4 linked regions of the Styela clava genome follow. The protein of the gene in region 3 purifies or fractionates together with the protein of the main gene of each other region. This does not show direct contact. Links are inferred from orthologs where the notes say so. Each region holds a gene or a part of one and is shown on either strand. Other genes may lie near its edges.

Region 1 (7,860 bases), on a different chromosome or scaffold from region 3:
ATTGTGATATCTGGCATTCTGAATGTTAAGAGAGAATATTAAGAAATTATAACGGTTCCTGTGACAGAGCCTTACTCTGAGTGAAGACTATAACACTAAAGTGAAACTATCTAGACAAAAATGACTTTTTGTTCATTTCATGCACAAAACAACTTTCTGATATAGGTTGAAAGAGAATACATTTTCACACAGTTATTGATATCAAAGAGATAATACATAGATAATTTTAAAAACTGAAGTCAAAGGCTCATTCATATTCATGTCACATGTGTGTCATCAAAAATCTGTTATTTTCTTCAATGTAGGCTATTTAATTTACGGTAATTCATTTTTTTGTATGCAAGACACATTATTAGTAATAATATAAATCTTTGAAATCAATAATTGAAGAATAATCAGAGTTAAGTTTATAAAGGATTTTAATCTATTTGCCCATCTTTAGTTCTGTGACTCCCATTAATGCTAATAGGACTCAGCAGAGGTAAACAGGGTAAAAAAATGTCAGTAAATAATGAGAAACTACACTTACAGGTCATGATTTCGTAGCCACAATGGGGTTGATGATATTTGTTCTAGTATATTGGATGATATTGCGTAACACCGATTGCTACAAAATTTCTTCCTTTCAGTTATATCAAACACTTTGTTCTTGTTTATCTTATATTGCTGCGTTGGAATCTATTGTTATCAAGAAATCAATAAATGCATGGTTAATAACAATTTATTTAACAATGCTTAAAAATAAGCAATTTCAATCAACAAATGACCAACTTTAGCCCCAGACACTGGACGAAATTTTTTCACTCCGCCTATAGGTTGAAGAACTTTCAACAGTTCAGAATGCTTAATAAGCCTAATGCCTTTCAGTCGGAAATTTCAACATTGATTACCATCTCTCGACATCTAAATTTTTTTTAATTTGGCACAGATTCCAGAGTTTTGAAATATATCTAAATATATAACGATCATAACATCATTAGCTCTAATATTTGTTTTCGTTTTCAGGATTTTTTTTACTAAGCAACATCTTTTTCTTTTGATCTATATCCAAAAAACACTTGCCACTTTTTTCTATATTACCAATAAGAGAACAAGATAAAATAAGGTTCATATGGATGAAAAGTAAAATATCTAAGACCAAAAACAAGAAGCCGAAAAATTACTAGGTCGGGCTTCTAAATTTTGAAGTTTGACACAGGTTAAAATATTTGCTGATGAAAATTATTGATTATTGTGGAGAAGACCTTTGGTACTTTTAATCCAAAATACCCAGAAATAAAAGAAATCACTGACACACATTGAAGTGTAATAAAATATTTTGAGTTTAATGTACCATGAATATACAAGAAAGCATGCATAATTTAAACAGAAAATAAAACTAGCAATACACTAACTTCTTTGAGCTTGTTTTTGCATAGACAATAACCGCATAAGTCGGATAATGAACGTTCTTCTACAGCATCTGTATAATGTTGCCCGGTGATCAACTTCAGCTAGTATATATAAACTAATATATATAAACATCTAAAATTATCACCCATCTAAATTATGATTGATTATTAGATAGTATATAAAGTTTTTACATATCATGTTCATAAAAATATTTACCTACCTAACTAATTGAATTTTATTTTAGAATTCAAATTTATCATGTGCAAAAGTATATATTCAGGATGTTGGTATTCACAAGGGTGCAACCCTTATATAACATGGGTGCTTCGCTTTCAGACTATACTGCTATAGGAAATAGATGCTTGACAATTGATAAACAGAAAGCAAAAATAAATCCTTTCCTTTACCTAAACATAGCATCGGCATATTTCCCCTATTTCTGCTTGATTAGAGTAGAAACATAAACAAATCTGTAAGAGTTAACGTTATATTAAAGATTTAGAGCAGTTCAAATCAGTACATCTAAAGGATAACAGGTGCTATCATACTGTCATACAAGAGAAATGATTTTTTATTGATAAACTTAAGTTGTGAAATAAGTTCAATTCAAGCATACCCAGGACAAAAACTGATCTTTTTGAACTTTTTCCTCGATGAGTTTTTCTACAATCGAATGTGCTTGTTTTTCTGCTAATTTTCTTTTTTCATATTCTTCTTTTATTGAAGAATGACTGTTAAAATGTATCACAATGAATAATAAATCTTGATAGTAAAAAAATTTTTTAATCAGTATTTCATGCTCTTCACATTTATGAAAAACTAACAATGATGATTTTGGGCGGTTAAACCAGTTTACAATCATCGAATTACATGAACTAGATTAATATTGCCGTATTGTCAAAATAGAAATGGGTGTTATAAATTTGATCACGAAATCCAACACTGAGCTCACGTTGGATTGTCGATATTTATGAATAAATTTATTCATAATATATATAAATGAATAAAAGCAGTTGAAACTCACCTCGCCATAATAATAATTATAATGATCTTTCTAATCAAGCAGCCAGGAAATCTAAAATGATGGCAATTACGGAGATAATATGAAATAAAACAAAAAGGGGGATTTCCCAACCTAGGTCAAAGGGTTCGAATTATTTTTTACTATATGGATAGGATAGGATTTACATATTTATCCCGGGGGAGAGGAAAGCCGATAAGACGGCGTATCCATATGGCGAACCACGGCCTCTCATCCGGTTACCATTCCAAGTCGGGTATGGGATTAGTTTTACTGTATTGTTTGTTTTCGGAAGCATGGACTTGGTAGTAGAGGAAGCCGTAACCGACCAGCGGTTAGTTACGTGAACCACCCAACGACGGCTAGGAGTCCAGCAATCCTCTCGCACAGAACCATCCCTGCATGGGATTCGAACCTGCGAACCCACGCAGAGTAATTAGAGGTGCGGTTGCGAGCGTATTCCTAACATTTAGCCCGTTGAGCCACACCGTCGTCGTGATTTGCAGGTCTTGTAATCGTCGTGATTTGCAGGTCTTGTAGTCGTCGTTTTATTGTGGACACAAAATTGACCTAATGATCTTTTTCAAAATTGTTGATTTCATTTAACTACTGGACCAATGAATCTTTCCCCGACCTTTGACCCCCCAAAAAAATTATTCCTATAGATAACTTGCTCGGGTCATGTGACATGTTTAAGCCGCCATTTTTAGACGGCAAAAAAAAAACATCCGGACCTCGCTCCTGTTGGTTGCAAGTCGTGTCGTGTTATTCGTTTCCGTTTTGCTTGGCTATTAAAAAGGGTTATTTCGTATTGTGCTGTACGTTAAACAACGAAATGGATCTTCAGTTATATTCCATTCATCAATGGTCAGAAGACATTGTTTCGTTAGTTAGCATGTAAGCAAAGGCATATCAGCTGACAAGCGAACGTAATCCTCGCTTCGCTAAGATTTGTTTGCGGGGAATGGTGAACTTCGCGGTACTGGTACCTAGTGTTATAATATAGTGGTGATTCGGAACGCTTGTGTTACTACATTTGTGAATCAGACGTGTCCATATATTTGAGCATGGCTCTCTTGTTCATTTTTTTTTTTCAAATTCCTGTGGGTTCAATGGGATTCGCTTTTCACTCTGAAGTTTTGTTTGATGCCGTGACCAAAATTTAAAAAAAAATGCGCTCATGTGGCGGTTTTCGCAATTGTATTTCAGCGATTTCGCGCTCAGCCATGTCCGGAATTTGGGGTACGATGAAGGTAGCCTACTTACCGGTATTGCAAAAGATTTGATACTGCAGTTTGAATCATTTGGTATTTTGAACCACGTTGATACTGGACGCATAATTCCAATTTCATTGCATTTATAATATTTTCATGATGACTTATTACTAATACGTGGTATCGCTCTTGCTCAAGTGTTGCTTGTTACTTATCGATTTTAATCGGCAAGTATGTTAATAGGTATTTGTCTGTCTGTCTGTCTGTCTGTCTGTCTGTCTGTCTGTCTGTCTGTCTGTCTGTCTGCCTGTTAGATGCACGTGATATCTCACGGAGGCGAGATTGAATCTGCTCCAGATTTTGCATGTGCTTGATTTTGGATGATTTATGTCGTATAATTAGCGAGTTATCAATTAATTAGTGATGGGACACAAGGTGTCATTATGGAGTAAGATCGCTGTTTTGGGGATCCCCTAACTTTCGATCGATAAGTCTTCGGTCTCTGACCGATATTCTCGTTTTGTTTTATTGTTTTTTGTTAGGTGAGAAATTTGGTTTCATCACATATATTTTCGTTGAGGTTTTAAGTGCATTTCGTTGTCTGTTATTTGGATCAATTCGGACTGAAACCTATGGGCAGGGGATATTCACTTGGCCAACACAGACAGCCCCCGAACTCGTAATAGAACTAAAATAATAAAAAAATCGAAATAAAATTATGGTCTAACCCTAATCTGGTACACATACTACGGGAGTACCCTATTGTGTACTTATTGACTTCCGAGAATTTCAGATTGGGGTTCACTTTGTTAACGTAGGTATATTATGGACATCCATACCCCTATCAAAAATATAAATCTACAATTTGTCATCTGGGTATTTGTGCTGGTCTTACATTGCAAAAATAAAATGAATCATATTAGTTCTGTTGATATTCCGCATAACATTGTAATTTTTAATTATTTATAATAACTCTCCTCTTATGTATGACCCAGCCTTGAAATTGAATACACTGGAATAGGTTTCAGAGAGTGTTTGGAATAATATAATAATTAAATTTGACCACTCATATTCTTTTATATTATGTTCAAGCTATGGTGTGAACATAGTAAATGAAGTTTTAATATTCTTTTTTGACATCCTTGATTATATATGTATATATACATCACACGATACTATTCGTTTTATTTTGAATTGGATTTTGAACTTTTTTTATAAAAAAATGAAATTTCTAGAAAAATTTCCATCTTGAAGTGTCATAAACTAACTAAATCTGCATACCACAGCCAATCCTGAAGACTAATAGAATTTCTGAACTTAGTTGTCGTATTTTAATTACATATTGTTTATTTAACTAACAATCGGGGTTACGTGAAACTAACTACCTTTCCTTGCTCTATGCCTTTGCGCAGATGGATCCGTATGCGTATAACGCAAGGATGCTATAGCAAGAGTGAAAATACCTATTCTATTCAATTCAAGAGTCTTGCTGCACACTTACACAAATATATTTCTGTAACGTTTCGTCTGACCGAGGTCAGACTTCTTCAGACAAGCATTTTACAACTATGACAAGAAACGCAATTGCATGCACATAAATAATGGTATCAAATGTTTGGTCTGTTTCCGATAGAGAAAAATAACTAAGATTGGGAGAGAGCCAGAACAATAGGGAAGCTAGATTTGGATTGTACTCAATAAGTATCCCACAGTGTAGTGAGTAATAATTGAAAAGTAAAGCAAACAATTTCGTGCTGTTTTCCCGTAACTCCGTCTGCGGCGTTGGTTGAGTTCATGTAAGTGTCAAGGCTACAATGTCAGATAATGACTTAAAAGTTGAATAAAAATCAAGTATAAGCGCATAACGGAATATAATGTTCAAATTAACATAAATCAGGAGTTTAACCATCTCTCAAATTCATTCCTAGAGGTTCCAATGTTTTGAATTTGTTGATAAAATAAGGTTCTTTTGTTTGTCGGTATGCTTAATCTCGATACAGTTTTTCTAGTCCGATTACCAAAAAGTCGTTGATAGAATGGCCTAATTGACTGAAATGTTTGCCGACTGCGAGATCTTTGTTCTTTTGGTTAATGCTTCTGATGTGTTCTGTAATTCTGTACTTTAAATGTCTGCCTGTTTCGCCGATATATTGCTTACCGCACTTCTTACAGGTTCTTAGATATATGACGTTTTCCGAATTTCAGGGAAATTCTTGGATTGCTGCTTAATTGAATCCCTGTGATGCTGCTAGTGCTTGTTTAGGTTTCTTTTGAATATTTGCAGGTAGTGCATGATTTCCTGTTGCATTTAAAAAAGCCTGTTTCTACTTCTCTTGGTGATTCCGGTTTCAGCTTGGCCCTAACCAGTTTATCTCGTAATGTCGGGCACTTTCTGTAGGCAATTCTGGGGGGTGCAGGGAAGATGTTTTTCAATCTTTCGTTATTGTCTAGTATATATTGATATTTTGAGAAAATTTTTCCGAAGTTTGGTTGATTTGGATGGTAATTAGTAACGAACGGCAATAGTGCGCCCCTTCGTTTTGATTTTCGTGTCAATGTATTGGAGTTCCCTTGTGGTACACGAAATGTACATACCGGTATGGATCATTTTGTTACTCTTATTAATCATTCTTTACTTCTTGAGAAAAAAATAGCTATTTTAATTATCTACTGGACCAATTGCTTTGAAATTACCAGTGGTTAAACATTGAATTTGTCGCTAGAAGGCTATATTTTGTGGACTCTATAAGATTAGTTTTGTGTGTGCGATGACGTTATCAAATATAAAAATTGCGCACCCTGTGGCGGTTCCGCGTCTGCCTTCGTTGCTAGCTGGTGGTCAGGCGCAGTGGTGAAGACTGAGGTACCGGTAGTCCTCTGTGAAAGATTGCATACCGGTACTACTTCATTTTGACTTTCGTGTCCATATCCAAGATCTAGCTAGAGCATTGATCATGTTGTTGTTGTTCTTGCTAATGATTATTTTTATCAATTTGTAAATATGTTGTAAATATCAAATATGTTGCAATACTAAAATTTGAACACATCATTCACGTACGGAAGCACGAAAAAGTTAATATTACTGTGATGGATTCGCAAAAGTACTCGCGCAGTAGTAGTAGCAATAATATTCAGTAATGATATTCAAACTAATTTCAGATTTGTGGTAAGCGATGACTTGATGAAGTCATCAAAATATTGAAAACTATTGCAATTCTAGAAAAATCGTTGTTTTTGACCACTATCGATCCTGGCAATCAGCACATTGTCTCTCCGAAACTATAGGTCAGATTGTAAGTAACTAACGATTAGGAAGTAAATTGAATTTTTAGTGTTTATTGAACATCCAGAAGAAATGATTCGCGGTCATTATATTTTGAAAATAAAATGGATGGGGGTGACTATGGAGAGAAGAGACCCCTGAGAAGAATTACCTCCTGCTCAAACTAAAAACATGGTTTCATAGACGTCGAAAATCAAATAAATAAGGTAAATAAATCATTATTTGTGTCGTCTGTCGATAATATTAGGTAAACAATCCATACATTGAAACTCAATTTATTATAGATAACTAATAATCTTGAAAACGGCCAAATAAATTCACCAGAAATCTCCCATGAATACTAGCATATATTTTTGTCATCATTTTTAAGATCGCAAACTTCGCACATGTGTCTTGAAGGGATTAACAAAGAATTGCTAGCTCATGTAAATCAAAGGAAAATATAACATTATGTAGGTTGAAAAGTAGCAGTGATATTGCGCAAGTGAAAAAAATGTTGTGGAGTTTTGCCTTGAGTATGCAAGACCATTACATGGTATCCTCAGTTAGCTCGATTGTGTTGTTGTCAATTCAGAATCCGAGACTACCGATAAAACACTGTGAGAAAACAAATTACTTTGCTTTTGTCGCAGTGTACTCCTGAAACAAAAAAGGAAATTGTTTTATCATTTAAATCATTGTAGGCCTACTGTTGTTGGTGATAGTGTATTTGCGAAAAATGTAGCACACAGCAAACCTTCCGGCATAAAAGTGATCGGCTTCTTCGAGAGTTTCTGTCATTGGCCTATTGATTGTTTCTGGTAGTCGAAAAAACAACGCGCCAGCAATAATTGATAACAACCCAAACATTAAGCTTGGTAACCATAAATGAGATGTTGAAATGACTATGGGCGCAAGAATGCTTCCCAAGCTGGCTGCTACAGTTGACACACCAAGTCCGTTGCTTCTGT
Region 2 (7,130 bases), on a different chromosome or scaffold from region 3:
ACTTGTCTTCTATCATCAATTTCAGCAACAAGTCGACCATTATATTCGGCTAAAAGCAGACAAGCTTCATCCACTATTGCCGATAACTTTTCTGCACTCTCAATATCTAAATTATGACATAAATATGTTATAGTAACAAGAAGGACTGATATTTCACATTCCACAATCTACTTAGATATACTGAAGTATGTTAATATAATGTGATAGCCAATGTGCATATGAAAAATTTTATGCAAAGCCGAGAGAAAACCATAAGATATAAGTAGTTCAACATGTGATGTTGCCTACAATTAAATATTTAGAACGAGAATTGTTTTATAAGTCTGATCACATAATTTAAACTGCACTATTTAGTTAACCCATGACATGGCAGCATTAGTATTACATCTCAATAAATAACATCAACTAGAATTCAGTAGACATCTCAGTACAATAGGTTTTCAGATGTAGAAAAACCTACCAGCTATCTTATCCAGTCTTGATATATCTTGAACCTCAGGAGGCAAACTTGCAATTTTTTCACGAACTGCTGCATCTGTAGAGGCCGCATTCTCCAATTCTGTTAGAGCTTTTACTAGATCTTCAGCCTGGATGATACAACAATATAAAAATAGGTTGAAGATTCTCTTGTTATTTTCTAAACCTGCCTGACAAAATTCTTATGGGAGTTATGAATATGATGCTTTAGGTTTGAAATTTCTTTCACGTTGAGGCTTAACTGTATGAATATCATATTACAGACAATGTTATTCTAAACATTTTGTCTTTCTCCTACTAGATGAGTCGGTAGATCTCATTCCTACGTTGGAAGGTTCCGGATTATCTTAATTTCTATGCTATAAAATTTTACCCTGAGTACCTCGTTTTTCTTCTGGCAGTCTTGTTTTGGATTGTTTCAGTAAATGTATGAATTTGGTGAATCAAAGTACAAAAACCTGATCATACTCACAAATATTTAAATTACTTCATTAAGCTACAGACTTTTACATACTGCTGCGAGTTTTCAAATGATGCTAAATAAAAAATCAACCTCTGGAGGATCCCTCGGTGATAAAGTTAAATAATCATCATCCTCTTCTTCTGTTATTAATTCATCGAGTCGGCTTTTCTTTCTTACAGGTTTTTCTTCTTCTGGAGCTTTTGATGATGAATCAGCAACTGCAACTTTCTTCGTTGGCTGTACTTTCTTCGTTTTCGGTTGCTTTGTTTGTTTTGATACTGTTGGAAATGGTCACAAAGTAATTTCACTATTTTTAATCATGGAATTATGAATTTACATGACCAAATCTTAAAACCCCAAAGTTCTTCGCAATATTCGAACAAACAAATATACTCATTTTTTATTATAATGCAGAGCAGCATCAATATGTATGAATCATGGATGAAAAATCCAATTTATTACCTTTCCCTATAGACTTCCTTATTTGATTGACATATTCCATTTCAAATACAGCCCTCTCTTGCCAAATGTCAAGAATACGAAGAACGGATTTCATTGTTTTTTCATCAGCATGTCTGAAAATAAATTTGTTTTGGATATCGAGGGATAAATAGCAATTATAGCAAACTAAGCATTACATTGGTAGATGTTCATCAGATAATTAAGTTTCCAATTTTATCTATACAATTTGCTTGTACCAGAATGAACATTTTTTTGAATTCCACAGATGAAATCTAAAATTATTGTGGATTTACATTGGAACTTATAAACGAAAAAAAAACATATAAAATTAAATAATACATAAACAAATGGTATATACTTAGCAACGTGAGTAAACGCTGTTATCAGTACTCCACCAAATGCTTTATGAAACTCTGGACCTTTCTTTTTGCAATTTTGCAGAATGTCATTTGCAAGGTAGAGGAAGGTCAACTTTTTGCTGGTTTTTGCTAAAATGAAGATATATTTTAATATGTTGTTTGAAAATATATCATACTTAGTTATACCCGATCCGTAATAAAGTTTCACTAGCCTACTTTCTTACAAATTGTCTGTTTTGAAAAAAAATGGGTTTACTGCTAGTCCCTCCTGTTCTTTTACAATAATTCACAACAGAATGATCTTATGATACTGTGATAAATAAGTCAAGAAAATTGTTTAAACTGTCAAAATCATTTCACATTACCTTTGATTAGTTCTGTTTGCCAAACTTGTATAATTGTTTTTGAATGACGACGGTGATGTATCAGCCACAAAGACAGTGTCTGAATGATCTGCATTGAGTTAGTCAATTCAGACAACTTGTCCACAAGTGCAGCTTCTGAGAATGATGACATGTTGGACCGTTACCTGGTCACCAACTATGTCTATCTAACAAAACCCGGAAACCAGGAATACAGCCAGAACCATGCAGTACTGTAACGAATAATATCAGTATATTAATATTATAGGCTAATTCTATACAGACTAAAAGATCAAAAGAAGGCAATTGTGAATTAGGCACTTTTCAGTCATTTTGAAAATTGGCAAAATAAGGCTGAAGGAGACTGAACTAACATGTGAACATGGGCTAGATTTTAGCCACACAAGCAAAGCCGTCTACGCACGGACAATTAGAATTAGGATCGCATTCTGTCATATAGGTCATTATAGGTACCGTACCGTACAGTTTTAGCTGCATTGGTACCATATTGTCCAATTTCAATTTCAGAATTTCTCCTTTTTAGGAAAAATGAAAACCCACGAGTTCAAATTTCAGATAATACTGTAAGTGTAATACAGTAATAAATGTCACGCCGTTAGTTTTATTGGCACCACTTTGCTCGAGATACGATACGGTAACAATGCATAATTTGCCATACCTATCTAATATCTATACTATTCATAAGAGAACCAAACTAGACAAATTTGCGACTTGAATACCTACTTTGGCTAGAATCAAGTCTCACGAAGTTATCATCTAACTGCAGAACTGGCAATTGAAATAGCCAGAGTCTACCGTGTGCGCACCAGCTTACCGGAGTTTCGAGGCGCAGTTCTTACCACTTCATGGCAGCTCCTGCCACGAACGTACCGCGGCGTCTCTTGCCATGGTTTCATCGCTGTATTACCGGTATATTTACAAAGTCATGTACAATATTGTAGTTTATCATGCGGAAATATATCGACTTAAACCCAACCCCAAATACATCAAAACTGTACTTATAAAAAAAGCGTTCCAACTTACCCGATATGGTACTCCTGAAGTATGAGCAGCAAGATGCCTCACAACCGGAACCCTAAGCTGATACACGACCTGAGTTCAGGTTGTGCGCCATCTTGGAGCGCATACTTCAGGAGATACCCTAATATTTATCACCATCAGTGGCAGCCCTACTATTACAGCCGACATGCCATGGTTACGGCAGCAAAATTGATGGTATTCGATTTGCTGTTAAAAAGTCAGTCGCAATGGGTTTGGTCCAGTCGTTGGTTTGGTCATAGCGCAATGGTTTGGAAATCCCGCCATGGTTTTAATGTAGCTCTAGACGCCACAAAATACTTGAAATTGCACTTAGGAGTTTCCGAGCATAGAATGTATTGGCATAGTTGATTCAAGTTTGTATGTATCTTAAACCACTTTATCATCATTCACCAATGCCGAATTAGTGTAGTTCTTCATGACTTTTGACTATCCAGGCCACTTCATCACATTGCATCCCACACGTTGTCTTTTTGGACACGTAGTGGACATAACGATCGTTTCAATATTATGTTGTTGTTGTTGTTCTTGTTCTTTGACACGTTCTTAAAAAGTCGCTTTTCTCTTCGAATACTGGACCAATTGCTTTGAAATTTTCAGTGGTTGAAGAATAAAATTTTCTCCAGAAGGCTATATTTTTTTTTTCGCTATGACGTCATCAAAATTATGTGACTCTACGTGTCCATATATTTGAGCATAGCTCTCTTGTTTTATAAGGTTTCTCATTGTGGATTCGAAACAGTTTTGTAAAAATAAATAAATGGTGAAAAATTAATAAACATAGAACATAGTCACGTATAATAAATAAATATATTCATAAACATAATCCAGTATTATCAAGTAATTTAAATTGTTCCATTGTTGATTCCAGATAAAGTTCACCATGTTTAACAGTAAATAGACATTATTTCACATGTTTTTTAATTATCGTTGGCAGAAAAATAAAAATTAATACAATTATTCATAGGTTCTTGCAGATTACGTCAGTCCTTTTGCGTTCAGCACATTTCCAAAATAAATGAGATATAAATTCCGGTGCTTGAGAACAAAATACACATAAATCATTTCCAGAAATATGTTTAATCCTTGGTTTAACTTTAACTGAAACATTAGTTTATAATTAAAGGTTTTTATATTATTAGATAATATTTTACAATGAATATTTAAACATGCTTCTTCCAAGCAACCATCTCTAAGAAACACTATCCTTTCACCACCACTTACCACACGTTATCTTTGTATCAGATTGAATGGATCATTATTAGCTGAAGTATTTTAAAAGTACAACATCCCGAAAGTTCCAAACATTCGTCAATTTTTTTCAATAAAGTTTGTGTTTTTTGTAACTTTTTTACGAAAGTGTGCTGGTGAGCGGGCACATGATTTTTCTCATATTTAAAACTGCATTAAAGATTTTGCTCGCTTCCCGGGATTCTCCATTTTTAATTTGTGTGTATTATTTATTTACCACCCCCCCCCCCAAAATGAAGTCCCCCCATGGGCATACTACTTCTATAATAGAAGCACTTCTCTATATCATCAACCAAGCAGTAAAAAGCATGGGTTCATCAATTATCCTAATATCTGCGCTATTTCAAATGTGATTAAAGCTAAGATATATAGAATAATATCGTAATTTTTCAAATAAATTGTTTCCTCTTTGAATATATTCTATTTCTATATTAAATATTAAGAAAAAATTCTGAATAGTTAGGTTGGTGTGATAGAGCTAGATTCAAGACTTTGCGCACATATATATTGGAATAAAACTATAAAGTCAAGTCATTTCTTTTCAGGGACTCTAACACTGCTTCAATGGATTCCTTAACGTTGCAATAAAAGTCTACTGACCAAGAAATGTTTGTTGTCCACTCGCACCGGAGGTGCTCTGTATTGTCACTGGCTATATATTGCCATATCTCATATTCTATTAAAGTCTCCCACTTGAATACTAATGAAAATTTTCAATTTGCGGAAACCTGTACCGACTTTTATTTTTATGTCTCTTAAATAATCATTCAAAAAATTTAAAAAATAGTGCATGACGACATTGCTGTAATAAAACTTATTTACAATTGGATTGTCTATTGCCATAAACATTATCACATTAATATGAAATTAAATATTAAATGCTAGAATAAATAAATACTATAGTTTAATAAAAGTAGATTGAAGATAAATTCAGTTGATGGAATTGGTTACGAAATTGCACTGATTCACATCTAGCTCAAATTAATTTATCATCCTAGCAAATTACTTAGCCTATATACGTAGGGTTAGTAACGTCATTTCGGCAGTATACATACTATTTTCGAAAAATAGTTTGAATGTCGATTTTTGGAATGCTTTCAGATTAACTAAATCAAGATTATAGTTTTTATTAAATGAGAAGGAATCTTTTCATTTATGCAAAGACGAAGATTGATATTCGTTGTCAATGAAATCATTTTTTCAATTTGTCACGTAATTATCGTCATCCCAAGAAAGGCATTTTTTCGAATTGCTGCACTAACGATGCCCTGGAAATATTGTTTCGGCAGACATTTTCGTCGTTTCTCGTTTGCAGTGTTCTTGCCGGAATATATTATGAGGTACACTATGGCTGAATATCTTTTCAGTCTATTCTCGTTAGCACTTAATTTTAGTTAACCGGCACCACGTTAAATTACGAATCGGGCACAAAGTTCGGATTATCATGGCTTCGATCCTCCGGTAAAGTTTTCTTGTGATCAACTTCAGTCATGGCGATTCCTTGAATTGCGTCAGCTGATTTTGTAGGCGAACACGTCGTTTTAACAGCGGTACTCTCGGATTCGTCGGCTTTCGGTGGCGGTGATTTGTAGGTCTTCCACGCCAACGCGAAAAAAAACACCGAAAACGCCTGTGGAACAAGACATATAATAATGTTTGAGTATTTTTAACGAGTATTTTTATCCTTCAATGCAATTAACGTATGGTATTGCAACATATATGAACGTACCTTCACCACTGTTAGTACAATCGTCATATACTTTGACATATCTTGGTTGTTATATATTTTGCAAGATCCACAGACTCCGCATTGCATTCCCCATACCGTACAGGACAGATCTAAAACTGCTCCGAGTATATTAGGCATGGGGACACTTCCGAGCAGTCGTAGGATCAGCCACTGAAAAAAATTTGTTGTAGGTGTTAAAACGAACGGTGGTTCAAATTTGCGAACATTTGCTTTCGCGAACATATAAAAAAATCAGCAATAAATGTGAAAACTTTTTGAAACACCTAATCAAAATATGTGGCAAATACCAGAAAAGAAGTTTAATTAAGTACCTGTATTCCAATTGCAAATGAACGCTGGAAATAAGGGACAGCCCGAAGAGAAGCCTGTAAATGATAAGTTGAATTATTTATAATAGAAAATTCAAAAAACATATAATATGTTTTGTTCAAAAATAACTTCCTGGTATATAGATTCCGTAACATTTCAAATATAGGTAGGAAATAAAGGTTGCAAATTTGGCGGTGGAATGACAGTCAATGTCAATTTATTGGTTAAAAAACATTTATAGATGGGTGTTATTGCATAAAATATAACAGTTTCGTATTTGTTGGAAAAGTCTTCTTACCTGTAATGCAGGTTGCGCACTTAAAAATATGAAAAACACTGCTAGTGCAATGATGACTGCAAATAGTCCCATGTTTTGACATGTATCTTGTACGCATTTTCCCTTAATTGCTGACGCCATTGAAACTTCGCTGATTGAGGATGAATCCAATACTCCTGAGCAGTTGTCAAAATTCTGTAAAAAGGATGAATTGGTTGGATCATATTGCTCCCTACTGTTCCGTGATACGTATCCAGGGGTTACGAGCCATTTCCGAAGAAAATTTCGATCCCTTGTGACAATGTCGTTAAAAGAGCAACATGAAACAACTCTGCTAAACTATCACGCATTTTATGAAAAA
Region 3 (7,816 bases):
CATTGCACGTTCAACAGCAGGCCTAGGTGACACAGACACTCCAGAATCTATCAACTTCCTTAATTGCTCCAATGTTATCAATGATGGTGGAGGATCACAATCATTTATTTCATCGTCCAAAAGGAGACAAGATCTGACTTCTTCTAACCACTTTGCTTGTTGTAGTGCGTGGTGTAGTAACGTCACCTGTGGAAGTTCCAGATCAAAATCTAGTGAATCCTCTATCAAAACAGCAATGTTATGACTGCAAGGTTCTTCCTCTTGCAGAATAATTTCAGTTTGAGTAACAAATTTTTCAATTCGCTTTATATAATCAGAAACCTGATCCAAGTTTGGAATTGTGCATGGTAAACCTAATAGTTGTAGATAAAAAGCCCTTATTTCTTCCAGCGTCAATAAACAAGTATTTGGATGAGTTATAATACCAGCTGTGGAATGAATTTCTTTTTGCCTAGTCCTGTGCTTTCTAACCACAACAAGCTGTTGGGCAACTCGTGAACACTTTTCGGCTTCCCGTACAGCTGACTGCAATTGATGCAGCAAATCATTTTCTGGAAATTTCCCTTGCACAGCTTCTTCAAGCAATTCTTTCAATTCGTGTAATGTATACTTGTTTTCAAATCTTGAAAACGCATCGCCTAATTTTGTAGTCCATGTATCAAAAGACTCCGCTCGCAATTTCATCTTATGAAGCAATGGAGGTAATTCATCCAATGTGTATCTATATCGAAGTATAAATTTACTTGGATCACAAGTGCTGCAGAGCCTGTTGACATGGAACGTACAGACAAGGTGATCTGGTCTACATGGGCATGTAATTGCGGACAAAAAGCATGCTGTTTTGCAGATGAAACACTGACGTTCATCATCGGGTACAACCTCAAAAGCTTCCCTTTCAGCTTGACATACACCAAGCTCATGAAGTTTCTTTCTTGCTTCTCTTTCCTCTTGCAGCATAGCAAGCATATCTCTGTAAACAGCAGCTGCAAGTTGAACATCTAAAACGTCAGGATTATTGGCGACTTTACATAAAATTTCTTCGTGTGAAAACACACATGCTCTTTTTACTGCGCGATAGTGAGCAACAGATTGTCTGCCAATAGGTATCCAATCAGCTGGACAAAAGTTCACGGCTTCTGCAAAGTTATATCCCTGATTAAAACCTGCATGATATGCCCTGGGGAAGGTAACAATGAATTCACCCGCACATTGGTTAGTTCGGACAACTCGCACACCATTGTTCATCAGAGTTGAAGGATTGATAGTGGTTACAAGATGATGCATAACATCAGGGTGGTTCTTGAATAGGTCAGGTGCGGTATTTTGCATTACTTCTTCCAGTTTGATTGCATCTTCTCTTGGAACACCATACCAAGTCTTTGGTTCTCCCCAGTGAAGATAATTGATAGAATATGTCCAATGATCTTCAATGTGCCAACAAAAAGCAGAGAAGCACATACCGACATAAACCCATGGTATTTTCATTCCTGACATGTCACCAGTCATATAACTTAGTAATGATTGTTTCGCAACTGGTAGATTGTTTAAATTCCATCCACTTTTTGCATAATCCTCTTCTTCAGCAGAAAGTGGATGTTTCTCTTTGTCGCACATTCTAGGAAATCCACTTCCGTGATTAAGAACATGAATATCGGCGCCATACTCCACTGCAACATCCTCTTCTATTGATCCAATTAATCTCCAGAATTCTCTTTCAACCAACTCAGTGGGGATCATGTGAACAGGTTTTGTAAAATATTCTGACTTAAAAGCATCAGCCATTTCTCCAAAACTTTGTAGTGTGTATTGCTTTCTTGCTTGTTCAAAACCATAAGCGTCTATGACTTTGTTGCATTCTTTAGACAAGCATTTTGGACATCGCCAATCCCCTTTGGGAACTTGGTTCAATGGTGGAATCAGACAGTAGGTATGGTAACTGTCATCACATCCATCACAGAGTAAAAGTTGAGTGTCATTGTGATCCTTCAGACAAACTTTACAATTACCCATTGTATCAAGAATGGAGTATGGGAGCTGTTCTGAACCCTTCTTTCGTGTGTTTATTGAGGTTGTGTCAACTGTTGCGGTAGGAATTGCAGTTTCTGGCTTTATCTTAGTTTCTATTTCCCCGTTGTAATCCATCAAATCAAATATATTTTTGCAATCCTCATTCTTCGGTTCTATTTTGATAGTAGCGGGTGCAGGTTCACTTTTAATTTCTTTTTTATTTGCCTCTTCTGATTTTATTCGATTTCTTCTCTTAGCAATTAATCCCAGGCCTACCATTTTTGGGCCTGCACCAAAAAGCTGCAATTTGGCAAGTTCTTTGTTATTTGATACGTCTACAACAAGAGATGGATCATCTATAGTTCTTCTTTTATTTTTCTGGCGGGCAGCTTCACTTTCATCTTCTTGCTCTCTCTGTGGTTTTACCTTGCTATTCCCTCCATATCTTCCTGAAAAACTTGGAAGTGGTTTCCCAGAGCCATCAAGGCTCTCAAGAAGAACGCCAGAAACCATTATGTCATATGGATACAGCAATCTTTCATAATGTTGTTTTATTGTTGCAGAAAAATTTTTTGCAACTCCTAACTTTACACATGCGGCATTCCATTGGCGGTTCTTGCAGACTTCTTCAAATCCCCCCAATTTCCTTACGGTCTCATGGAGACCATACAAATCTAAAGGAGAGCCGGCAATGTGTGGCAGTCTGAATGTAGTACCCTGTAATTCCCAAAACTTAGCTACTTTCTGAATGAATTGAAGTCGAATCCGAGTTTGAATACCTAATTCATTAAGTCTCTGTATTCTCGGTGTAAATTTGAAATTTTCTACGTCAATAGCAAATGGGGGTTGCCAATAAGGTGGAGGCCGTATTTTACAAATGCCTGCTTTTTCTGCTATAGGTCTGATCTTAGCAATGTATCCAAGTGGATGAGCAAATTCTTCTTCGTTTGGCTCAAAAACTGGAGCCTCTGGAGGAGGAAAGAATTCATCATCAAACATATTGAATTTTTACATACAGCAGCTTATTAAGATCTTTAAATATGAAAACAAAATTCAGAAAAATTAATATGGATCTAATTAGATAGAATATACATATTCATCCCGGGGGAGAGGAAAGTACAGCCTAATCATATGGCGAAGCATGGCCTCTCATTAAGTTACCAGTCCATGTCGGGATGGGATTAGTTAGCCAGTTATTAGTTTTCGGAAGCAAGGACTTGATGGTGGAGGAGGCAGTAACCGACCAGCGGTTATATGAACACCCTATGGCGGCGAGGAGTCCGGAAACCGTTTGCACATAACTAACCCTGCATGAGATCGGAACCCACGAACAGTAATCAGAGGTGCGGTGACAAGCATATTCCTAACACTTAGCATGATGCGCCACACCGCCGAGCCGGGAAGAGATATTTCAATTTCCTTAGCATGTCAATTGAAAAACAAAATCATTTGGTTGAGTTGTAATTCTGTTGTGTATTTGCACAATCTTGTACATAAATTAAGAATTTGATCACATTGAGAAGATATCAAAATGCTTTACTAAAAATTTAAATTGTCAATACATCATTTGCATTGAATATCATGTACCGGTAGGCTTACCGGTAAATAGTTTTATGTTTTTGTATATTTCCATGAGACAACTTCGCTTTGAATAAAGCCGGAAAAATATTCAACCATCACTGTCATCAAATATTCTTACAACTTCAATTTATTGGAACAAAGATTATTCAATTTAGTGATATTTAAAAATGATCATTCATCCTGATATGTTGATTTGGCTAACTAGCAGAAGCCTAAATAAGGAGCTTACAAAGTGGGACAAGGTATCTGATCCAATCACAGAAATACTTTTTTCATCTGTAGTTTATTAATTTTTATGTGTTGACATGATTCGGGTTGTAAACATTCCATTTTACACCAAATTTTAGTAAATTTGACAAGAATTACCAAGATGGAATTGGTACACCAGTCATGAGGAAAGCAAATTTTTATTAAAATCAACGAACTCCTGAATTTGTTTGATTAAGATTATAATTGACTAATATTACGAATGATTATGCCTAAACTCAACCCAATTCTAAACTCAAAATTTCAAAGTACTGAAGTATAAGGGTGGTCTGTGTTTATCATCCTTCATGCTGGTTAATATTATAAAAATGTTTTACTTTTGCACTGCTGAGGCAGGTATTTAAGAGCAAATTTCATACTAGATAATAAGGAAGCAACAATTTCAGTATATACAGCTAAACGAAGGCGATAAATTCAGAAATCTCAGTACCCCGTATAGCATTTTTACGCTTCCTTAACGACTGACTGAACGGCGTCGGAAAATCGTAGATGAATTTAAATACACATCACACAGTCACAACATCGCCGTATATAAAGGATCTCACGAGAGAACGCGCACAATCAGATTGCATACCTTTTAAACTTAAACATTCCAAAAACTTTATTTAATTCAACACAAAATTGTTGCGCGAAATGCAAAAAATCCAAACAGTTTTTAGATTCTCGCACACACAGACATATCGCCAAAATTGGATCTACTACATTATTATTTCTACGCTGATTTTCATACCAGGAAAAATCTGCCGAACGGTTATTTAATCCATGGCAAAAATATAACTTAAAATTATTCTAACTAAAATAAATTACCACACAGAAAGGAAAAATATTAGACGCACAAGACCCTGAGCACAATCCGTCGCCATTTTCGCTACGTGACCACTTGGTGTCCGTAAACACAAAGAAGAAAAAGGGCAATGACGCATTAAGATGAGAAAAAAGTTATTTCAGCAGAAAATAGAAAAAATGCAACCCGGCAAATTGTAATTATGTACGAATTTTGCATTTGCTCTGTTCTTTCCAGGGGCGTATATTGAGGGGTTCGATTGTGTGCTTTTTTATTATTCTGGGTTTAGCGCTGACAAATCGAAGACAAACAATACAATGCCTTACGCCAATCAGCCTACAATCGCAATCACGGAACTTACGAAAGACAATGTGAAATTTGTTATTGAAGATACAGATCTCAGTGTTGCAAATTCACTCCGCCGGGTATTTATTGCAGAGGTGAGAATTTCTGATACCGGTAACCGAGAGGAACAGGATGGAGAACCCGGAGAGTTGGCTAAACCAAAGTTGGGTTCGCAGGTTCGAATCCCATGCAGGGATGGTTATGTGCGAGAGGATTGCTGGACTCCTCGCCGTCGTTGGGTGGTTCACGTAACCGCTGGTCGGTTACGACTTCCTCCACCACCAAGTCCATGCTTCCGAAAACAAACAATATAACTAATCCCATACCCGACTTGGAATGGTAACCGGACGAGAGGCCGTGGTTCGCCATATGGATAAGCCGTCTTTTCGGTTTTCCTCTCCCCCGGGATAAATATGTAAATCCTATCCTATCCTAAACTTGATATGAGTTTTGAACATGCCACATAAATGCACTAACGTGATGTAGGCAATTCAATATGAAAAAGCTGTCTTATCGACTATCCTCTCCCCCTGGATAAATTTTGAAGTCCTATCTTGTTGTAACATAGAACGACTTAGAGATACCGTACTCCGACACAGTCTTTAAGGGTATACCGGTACCCTAGCTGCTGAATTACCTTATTTTTTTATTGCCCATATCGGAAGCCGTGGAGCCACCCTTTTCTGGCGAGGAGTCTAGAAATCCTCTTGCACATAATTATCTCCCACAGGATAATCAGAGGTGCGGTGGCGAGCGAATTTCTAATACTTAGCACAATAAATCACATTGTCTAGTCATACCCGACACTCGCTTTCTATTTGCTTCCATGGCCATTACAGTCGTCAACTCCTAAGCTATCCCAGAGTCATCCTCAACTTTTAACCTTTGCACATTTTAATAACTCATTCATTAATAACTTCATTCTTCTACCTGTACGCATGCATGAAATACAAATGTCTATAAGCATGGCATAGACTCAACAATAAAGATTACTAGAGTTCATGTTTCAATCTTATGAACTGGACTATCGGTGAATTAAAAAGTAGTGAAGTGTTATCCATTCTAATATTCTATATGAGACATGTTTCTTTGAAAAATTGTTTGTTTGTTGTGACTGCCCGCCTCACATTACTCTATTTAAATATATTTTAAGGTTCCCACACTTGCGATTGACTGGATTCAAATTGAGGAAAATTCTTCAGTATTGAATGATGAGTTTTTATCACATAGGATTGGATTGATTCCATTAACATCCGATGAGATAGTGGACAAAATTCAGGTAAATAGCAATAAGTAAAATTCAACCAAGCATATTTGAACGGGACCTATAGCCAGCCCATGCGATTAGGTCATTTTGTCTGTTCTCTATCTCTCATTGTTCCTCATTCTATGTATCATACCTGGTTAGTTGATGTACTACGGTAATTAATACATAAGATTATTCAAACCAAAGTGATCATTTTTTATTTTACTGAAGAACGTATTTATCCTGATTTCAGTACTCAAGAGATTGTATGTGCGATGAATTCTGCCCAGAATGTTCAGTGGAATTTTATCTCGATGTCAAATGTACAAGTGAAAGCACGCGACAAGTTACTACTCGTGATTTAATATCCATGAATCCAAAGGTAAAATGGTATTCTTGAAATCAAAATTATCCATTAGATGCTATTTTTTTATTTTATTTATTCTGCAGTTTCATGAGAAATACACATTTATTTATTATGGAATGAACAAACACTATCTGACTTTTCTACCCAATGTCTCGGTCATAATCATATCCAAATATTTTTTTCCAGTTTAAAACATTCCCATTATTTTGCTGGCTAATAGTGATTGCATAAAACATAAACATTTTGTGTAACAAATGAATTGAATGCCGTTTGCATGTTAAACTAAGGTTGTTCCAGTTACATCGAGAAGTAGAGGAGACGAGGTTGAAAATTATGGAGAACAAGATGACATACTGATTGTTAAATTAAGAAAAGGACAATGCCTAAAATTCAAAGCTTATGCTAAAAAGGGATTTGGTAAGCGGGTTTCTTAATGTCTGTCTACTGTATAATGCTTTCGATGAGAAACATTCGTTGGATAAATGAAACTTCAATATAAATATAGGAAAGGAACATGCTAAATGGCAAACAGTTTGTGCATGTGCTTTCGAATATGACCCAGATAACGCACTTCGTCACACAACTTATCCAAAACCCGAAGAATGGCCTAGGAGCGAACACAGTGATCTCACAGATGATGATGATAGACATCAAGCAGAGTAAGTTGTCGTGGCTTGGTTTTATTAAAACCACAATGAGCTACAGTAGCCATTAAATTTATTTTTGTTCAGATTTGATCCGAATGGCAAAGCAAACAAATTTTTCGTCAATGTGGAATCTACAGGAGCCATAAAACCAGAGAACATCATTCTGTCAGGGCTCTCTGTTCTTAAGAAAAAGCTCAGTGACCTCCAAACACAGCTAAGCCATGAACTGCAGCAAGATGGACTAACTATCGCATGATGATGCTGAGAAACGATCTTTTGGTCATAAAGTACCACCACCTTCTGCATCACTAGTTTGTCTGGCTTCAGGTGGATCTACATAGTTGAACATTTTAGGACCAATTTTTTCCAGATGATTTCTGCCACGTTGTCGCCAGAGTTTTTGACACATTTGTAATTTGATACATCGTCTGGCTGAACAGTTGTTGCACATCCTGTACCCATCTACAACTTTCCACTGCTCTTGTTTTAATTCTGGTGCAAGGACATTTTCGTTCTCGGGATTTTCCAATCGTTTGAAGATGATGAGTTCACCATTACTTTTTAAATGTGTC
Region 4 (7,118 bases), on a different chromosome or scaffold from region 3:
ACTTTGAAGCAGAAAACTAAAATATACACTTTTTTGTATGATTGAAATGACGTTTTTTTTGGTAAAAAAGAAAAACGATTGGGACTTGTGATGAGGGGTCAAATTTCGCAAGTGCCTGATTTTTCATTTTTTTCGATTACAGTTGCCACATATTTTTGCAATACTTTTCATAAAATCTTTTTCGTCAGAACTTACTAATCATTGCTTTTTAAAGGAAATTCCTAGTTCTACAACAATTTCAGCGTTTTTAATATTGCAATGAGCAATAGCATTTGACAACATATAGATAACCATCGTACTTTTTGGATTTATTTGAAATTGAATAGGAATGATAAAATCTGGCAACCGCAAGCACAAAATACTAAAATCAGGCACTTGTGAAATTTCAGGCACTTTGTAAAAAACCATTTCCCGATGTTTTTGATTACTTTAAAGCCGAAAATCCAAATATACATATTTTGTATGACTGAATTTGGTATTTTTATTGTTCAAAACAAGAAGAACTGTCACTGGTAAAAATGTGGCAAATTTAGCAAGTGCCTGATTTTTTGGTTTTGTCAATGATAGTTGCCATATCTCTATAATTTTTGTCTTTTTTTTATATGTTGTTTCCCTATTGCATTATTTTATAAAAGTCAATGTTTGTATGAGAGCTCCACTTAGCATAAATGGAATTAAACTTTTAACATCAGTATCTACATCCGGAAATCGGTATTTAATTAAACCAATCACGCTTTTGCAAAACTATTTGAATATTGTAAAGTTTGAATGACATTGTGTTGTTTATTTTTTTTAAATTCAAAAGTATGACATATGTATTATTTAAATACGGGTTTAAATTTGACAGATCTGTAAAGAATATTAGTTATTCAGACGACATCTTTATAGTAATGTTCGGAACCCTTGAAATTGGTTCAAAACTTCTACTAATTTGTTATAAACATTTCGACGTAATATATTACCCAGGTAGCAACAATCGCATTGTTATAAAGAACCTAATTTGTCTTCTGGCAATATTAGTTCGAAATTCCAGTTTTAATTGTTATCGGACGACGATTTTAATAATGTAATTTTGGCCTATGACTTCATATAAACTACATAACAGAAACAATTGACTTATGTCGTATAGAATTTTTTATAATACGTATCCAAGTTACATTATCCCCTAATAGAACATAATTTACCGTTCACAAAATGTATAAAAGCCTGTGCAAAATCCATATTGACAACCAGCGGTGTTCAACCACGGCTACAATAAAGATATTCAATCACTTGCTGTTGCTGTTGTATAATATTCTTTACAACCTGAAGATCTGACTGTAATATCTTTTCATGGATAGTTTATGGAATGGATTTCATGGATAGTTTACGTAGAATTATTTGTACATTATTTCATGCTGTAACAGCTAACTGTAAAACACGTAGTTCCTAAATAAGAAGAATGGCTACAGGATTGTAAATACGAGATGGCAATGTCACCTAAACAAAATTCACTCGGCGAATGACATCAGGTAGCTGATATGCCCAAAGTTAGGCTTAAAAGCATCGTTAAACGAATGTTACAATAAAAATCCTTCAATATTCAACACGCCAGTAGTCAGTCAACGAATTTTTTTGCGTTATTCAAAAAGTTACAAATATATAAAAACGTAAAACAGTTTTTGTTTTTAATGTCACAGAAGCCGTATTAATCTCTCGATTATAGATCTTTCTTCATCAGTAATTGGGGATATAAATTTGAATTTAAATTTATTGAGGAGATAAAACATTAAAAACACAACTTCACAAAGGAAGTGTATGAGTGAACACTAATCGAAGCTTTCAGATTAAAAATTATTAGAAATATTGAGTATCCAATGAAAATCCTTACTATTTGTTCTATTTTGACATGATATGATTTACGTATCTTGCAATTAGGTAAAACCACAGATCTAAGAATTGAAAAAAAAGAAAAAGAATTTTAAATGTCAGTTCTGAAATTGAACATGAAAAGGTTTTGTGTATATTTTGCTACTTTTATATGTCGGGCGTATAGTTTCTTCATGTCGCGAAAGAGCATCAGAACAGGTTGTGCAGAAAATGGTGCTGCCGTAGTATGTGCACAAAGTTGGCACATAACCCGAACATAGTATGTGTACCAAGATAGAGGTAATAGGTTGTGCGCCATCTTGGAGCACATAGGCTACTACGGGAGCGCCCTGAAAATACCCACATTTGCAACACCGACTTACCGAATACAAATTTTACACTTCCACAATTTCGCTTTTGATACTTTCTCACATGTATCATGATACCAACGCTTGCAAACGAAGCATTGATATTGTACGTGCTCCCGTATACATTTCGCACTTTAACAGACACTCCAATTATTATTTTCCAGAAAGCAAAATTCATGCATCGGAATGTCAGAGTATATGAGTGGCGACGATGCAGTGCGACAACGTTCCAAATGTGATTGAATTTTTGTTGACTCCGACTTGTTCAATCTTCCATCTGGGCGTTTTGAAGAGGTATGTACTCACTTCCAATATAAATACTTGCACCACCTTCGGGCAGACGTCGAATTGAAATTAGCGATAAGAATAGCACTCAATATACATCGGATTGCCTAAAAAAACATTTTACCGAGAAAGCAAAGTATAGTAAGTACTAAGTTCTGACGAAAATGATTTTATGAAATATATTGCAAAAATATATGGCAACTGTAATCGAAAAAAATGAAAAATCAGGCACTTGCGAAATTTGACCCCTCATCACAAGTCCCAATCGTTTTTCTTTTTTACCAAAAAAGACGTCATTTCAATCATACAAAAGAGTGTATATTTTAGTTTTCTGCTTCAAAGTAAGTATGAACATCGAGAAATAGGTTTTTACAAAGTGCCTGAAATTTCACAAGTGCCTGGTTTTAGTATTTTGTGCTTGCTGTTGCCAGATTTTATCATTCCTATTCAATTTCAAATAAATCCAAAAAGTACGATGTTTATCTATATGTTGTCAAATAATATTGCTCATTGTAAAAACGCTAAAATTGTTGTAGAACTAGGAATTTATTTTAAAAAGCAATGATTAGTAAGTTCTAACTCAAATAATTTAGAAAAATTGTTGCGAAAATATATGGCACCTGTTATCGAAAAAAATGAAAAATCAGGCACTTGCGAAATTTGACCCCTCATCACCAGTCCCAATCGTTTTTGTTTTTTACCAAAAAGACGTCATTTCAATCATAAAAAAGAGTGTATATTTTAGTTTTCTGCTTCAAAGTGTATAAAAACACCGAGAAATATGTTTTTACGAAGTGCCTGAAATTTCACAAGACCACTGTGAAGCTAGCAGCATTTTCAGCCAGAATATTTTTACATATTGAATATAGTTTCCACGCGCATATAATGTTCACTTATAGTTACATATAAAGATTGAAAGATTGCACAAGTGCCTGGTTTTAGTATTTTGTGCTTGAGGTTGCCAGATTTTATTATTCATATTCAATTTCAAATAAATCCAGAAAGTGCGATGGTTGACCATATGTTGTCAAATGGTATTGCTCATTGCAATATTAAAAACGCTCAAATTGTTGTGGAACAGTGAATTTGCGTTAGAAAGCAAAGAATAGTAAGTGCTGACGCAAATAATTTAGGAAAATAATTGCGAAAAAATATGGCAACTGTCACCGAGAAAAATGAAAAATCAGGCACTTGCGAAATATGACACGCCTCCATCAGTCACAAACGGTATTGTATTTTACCAAGAAGTTGTAAATTCAACCATACAAAGTGTTTATATTCAATTTTCTGCTTTAGAGTAATCAGATACATTGTAAAATAGGTTTTGACCAAGTGCCTGAAATTTCACAAGTGCCTGATTTCTATATTTTGTAATCAATGTTGCCACATTTTACTATTGAAAAATTATTTATACCCTAATAAATTGGAAATAATATTGTTTTATTGCAATATAGGGATGCAAAAATTATTTAAAGTCCAATTATCTTGTCAGGTAAATTGGAAATCCCAATGACGTACGGTAAAAATAAAAAAATATCAAAGTGCCTAAAATGGTGCCTGAAAAAGTGCCTGAATTCGCGAGTGCCTGGTTTTAGGGAGACCCGGTTATTGTTTACCATCATCTAAAGCCCATGAATTTTATTGTTCAAATGAGTGGTCGTAATACTTACTAAATACAGCGCGAAACAGCGCAGAAGAGAGGGAAACATTTTTCTTTCATTATTTATAAGCGTCCGTAAAATTTTAAACAATTTGATGGGAAACAGTATACAGTTGTAGGGAATGATCCGAGTTTATATCAGTAATCTTCAATGTCTTTAAATAACCTAACAATACAGCAATGCGATTTTCTCTGAATTATATATTGAATTTGTTAAAGTACAGTACTCTCTATTTGGCAGACCAGCTTTTCTAATAATCATTTTCAATGCGAACGTTAATCACATCAGCAAATAGGATTGGAGTTGAGTTCGATGATCGCATGGTCGTGACTCGTATCACTCCCTCCCGTCCATATCAAAGCAATTTTTATTTTATTTTCGTTACATTTTTTTTCGTATTGATGACTGTTTGTATCTTGGTTGACAAAGTACCAAATATCTCTCTCTTTTTTATACGGAACCAGGTTCTGTGGATAAAAAAAGGGTTCTGTGGATGTGATCACCATTGTACTTGATTAAAGTGTAGTAATACAATTTTACACATGCCCTATACAACTATACAATAAATCTGATGTAAAGTATTGAAGAGTAGAAATATTTTTTTATCAGCCGACTCATTTTATGTCTTTATTTTATAATTTCATATTTTTTTAATCCATACTGACAGTTCGACCACAGCGTAAAAAAAATGGTCGGAGCCTGCATACTGACCAACACGAATCAATGTTTAAATATTCACTGTACTGTATTTCTATAAAAATCTGTACCTATTGTCCTTTCTTAACATTGTTTTGTGGAAATAAAATCTCTCTCTCTCTCTACCGTTATTATACCTAGTGAAAGAGGGGTTTGTACTGTTATAATTGTGTTTTAATGTGGGGGCTATTTTTGCAATGGGAAACGGTCCCTTCACATGTTCTGTGTCAAATTTAGTATTTCAATTGGCATATTTTATGATAACAAATATAATGAAATAAACATATATAATCAATTGCACAGGGGTTGCTTAAGCTTCTGGAATGTTTCATTGGGTTCTGCCCCTACCAAGAGGTTGAAACCCAATGGTTTATCAGGTTGTATAATTATTATTCTGTAATATATTTGAAATAATCTTTTCAAAGATGATGACCAACTTTTGATCGATATATTCATGATGATGCATGAGACAATCAGGTTAATCTTTAGTCTGTCAACCTCTTTAATATTTCGATATTGTTTGAACTAACATTAAATTTCATTTTTCCAGCTTTAAGTCATAAACAAGTAAAATGAATATAAGTTTGCAAGGTGGCGATCACCAGATTCCTAGCTCCGGATTAGGTAGCCATCCTAATAATGATCGTATGAATTTTTCACATGATTTTTTCCAACAGCCTGCCACAATGGAGACACAGCAAATGAACATTGAAAAATCTGAACCTCCTGTGTGCACTTCTACTGGGATATATTTATTAAAAGATCAGGTTGAGCCATCAGTTGTATCGGGAAGCACAAATCTTCTAGCACATTACAATTTAGAAACAACATATAACAAATTTTGCGGCGGAAAGAAAGTAAAAGAAAATTTAAGTTCATTTCTTCCGGATTTGCCTGGGTTTATTGACACACTTGCAATACAAGACAATAGTAGTTTAAAAGCGTTGATCGATCGACCCCCTGTTGGTAATAAAGAAATTCAACCACTATCACAGCCTTTATTATCAAGTTTCCGTTTGCATCCTGGGCCTTTGCCTGATCATTATCGTTCCTTATATCAATCAATTGACTCAACACGACGAAAAAGCAAGCATCATAAAAAACGTAGGTCAGACCCAATGCAAAATACTCATATTAATGAAGGAGAAGAATTTGAGCCCAGAAAGCATAAAAAGAAAAAACATGAAGATGGTGAAAAGAAAAAGAAGAAAAAAGAAAAGAAAAAGAAGAGGGAAAGAGATAAAGAAAGAACCTGATTTGCAGGACACACAAGAATATTTTTTGCCATCAAGTTCAATCATTCAAAAAAACTTGAGGGCGAAGTGAATCACCCATTTGGGACTAGCGATTCAAACCGGCAGATAGTTCTTGTTAAAATTGCAGATGGAATTTCAGGGCAATCAATCATATATTATTTGAATAAAACTTGCTGTCCCATTGATTCATCTTCGTCAATAAACTTGAACAAGAAAGAGCTATTTATAATAAGATGCGAAATGATAATCTCTTCTCAAATTATAGTCTTACTTTATGTTTGAATATCTTGGCCCTTTGATATTTCAATTGTACTGTTTTGGTCATAATTCTAGTCAAGAGGATTGTATGTACAGGTCTATATGCATCAAATCATATGTCGCTAATGGATTATGACGGGGGCTCTTTCATCTTATCAGCAAATATGCTGTAAAAACGGAATTTACTGTGATAATATTGATAACAGTTTTGCTGTAAATTTCATGTCATTTGCTTGAGATCCTGATTGATCAAATTTGGAATAGTATTTATATTCTATTTCAGAATATTACAGTTTATCTTTTCACTATATCTTAGGCCTTATTTTTAAATTATGTCCATCTTTTTTGTATTTTCTTTTTTAGATACTAAACAGCTCTATTGTTAGAATGAATTATGATTCCTCCCATGATATCAGTCGTAGACTTTCTAAGGAATTATCAACAGACTTAAATAGGAATTCTCAAGCAATATTGGAAATACTGAAAGATCTTTTGAGAATGTGTGATGGTGAATTACTTGAGTCTACACGTGTGTTGAATTCGGTTATACAGCTGACTCAAGTTAAAGATGTACGGGTGAAAAAGATTGTATATTTGTACCTTTCATTTGTTGGGGAACATGATTCAGAAATTTGGTTGCACATCACAAACTCTATATCAAATGACTTGTTGGATCCTAATCCATTTGTCAGAAAAGCTGCTATTCTTATTCTGACTGATTCCCATTCAATATCGTCTTTACTTAA

Evidence for each region.
Region 1: the proteins of DNA-directed RNA polymerase II subunit RPB3-like (region 3) and putative RNA polymerase II subunit B1 CTD phosphatase rpap2 purify together in Homo sapiens (affinity purification with mass spectrometry; 3 studies listed by BioGRID and IntAct, with this or other methods). This does not show direct contact. The link is inferred for Styela clava from reciprocal best matches to the Homo sapiens genes POLR2C and RPAP2.
Region 2: the proteins of DNA-directed RNA polymerase II subunit RPB3-like (region 3) and regulation of nuclear pre-mRNA domain-containing protein 1B-like purify together in Homo sapiens (affinity purification with mass spectrometry; 3 studies listed by BioGRID and IntAct, counting the BioPlex papers as one, with this or other methods). This does not show direct contact. The link is inferred for Styela clava from reciprocal best matches to the Homo sapiens genes POLR2C and RPRD1B.
Region 4: the proteins of DNA-directed RNA polymerase II subunit RPB3-like (region 3) and mediator of RNA polymerase II transcription subunit 19-like purify together in Homo sapiens (affinity purification with mass spectrometry; 4 studies listed by BioGRID and IntAct, with this or other methods). This does not show direct contact. The link is inferred for Styela clava from reciprocal best matches to the Homo sapiens genes POLR2C and MED19.

Annotation. Positions count from the first base shown.
Region 1 is NC_135259.1:4,730,498-4,738,357, reverse strand, and holds the start of putative RNA polymerase II subunit B1 CTD phosphatase rpap2, read right to left. Parts: upstream 3,003-7,860; 5' UTR 2,902-3,002; intron 2,468-2,901; 5' UTR 2,425-2,467; coding exon 2,417-2,424; intron 2,124-2,416; coding exon 2,009-2,123; intron 1,494-2,008; coding exon 1,395-1,493; intron 679-1,394; coding exon 530-678; intron 19-529; coding exon 1-18. Other genes in the region: organic cation transporter protein-like, read right to left, coding at 7,456-7,549, 7,647-7,856.
Region 2 is NC_135260.1:17,609,107-17,616,236, reverse strand, and holds the start of regulation of nuclear pre-mRNA domain-containing protein 1B-like, read right to left. Parts: upstream 3,006-7,130; 5' UTR 2,864-3,005; intron 2,405-2,863; exon of another isoform or gene 2,357-2,404; 5' UTR 2,278-2,356; coding exon 2,127-2,277; intron 1,891-2,126; coding exon 1,761-1,890; intron 1,516-1,760; coding exon 1,403-1,515; intron 1,219-1,402; coding exon 1,031-1,218; intron 588-1,030; coding exon 461-587; intron 107-460; coding exon 1-106. Other genes in the region: solute carrier organic anion transporter family member 4A1-like, read right to left, coding at 5,848-6,063, 6,163-6,333, 6,495-6,548, 6,791-6,964. UniProt on the Homo sapiens protein: Interacts with phosphorylated C-terminal heptapeptide repeat domain (CTD) of the largest RNA polymerase II subunit POLR2A, and participates in dephosphorylation of the CTD by RPAP2. Transcriptional regulator which enhances expression of CCND1.
Region 3 is NC_135263.1:18,252,079-18,259,894, forward strand, and holds the start of DNA-directed RNA polymerase II subunit RPB3-like, read left to right. Parts: upstream 1-4,802; 5' UTR 4,803-4,956; coding exon 4,957-5,079; intron 5,080-6,137; coding exon 6,138-6,263; intron 6,264-6,483; coding exon 6,484-6,612; intron 6,613-6,650; exon of another isoform or gene 6,651-6,884; coding exon 6,885-7,014; exon of another isoform or gene 7,015-7,102; coding exon 7,103-7,256; exon of another isoform or gene 7,257-7,328; coding exon 7,329-7,500; 3' UTR 7,501-7,524; coding exon of another isoform or gene 7,525-7,816. Other genes in the region: lysine-specific demethylase 5A-like, read right to left, coding at 1-3,006; uncharacterized protein LOC120341062, read right to left, coding at 7,525-7,816. UniProt on the Homo sapiens protein: Core component of RNA polymerase II (Pol II), a DNA-dependent RNA polymerase which synthesizes mRNA precursors and many functional non-coding RNAs using the four ribonucleoside triphosphates as substrates.
Region 4 is NC_135257.1:12,133,428-12,140,545, forward strand, and holds mediator of RNA polymerase II transcription subunit 19-like, read left to right. Parts: upstream 1-4,111; 5' UTR 4,112-5,430; coding exon 5,431-6,114; 3' UTR 6,115-6,736; downstream 6,737-7,118. Other genes in the region: AP-4 complex subunit beta-1-like, read left to right, coding at 6,760-7,118. UniProt on the Homo sapiens protein: Component of the Mediator complex, a coactivator involved in the regulated transcription of nearly all RNA polymerase II-dependent genes.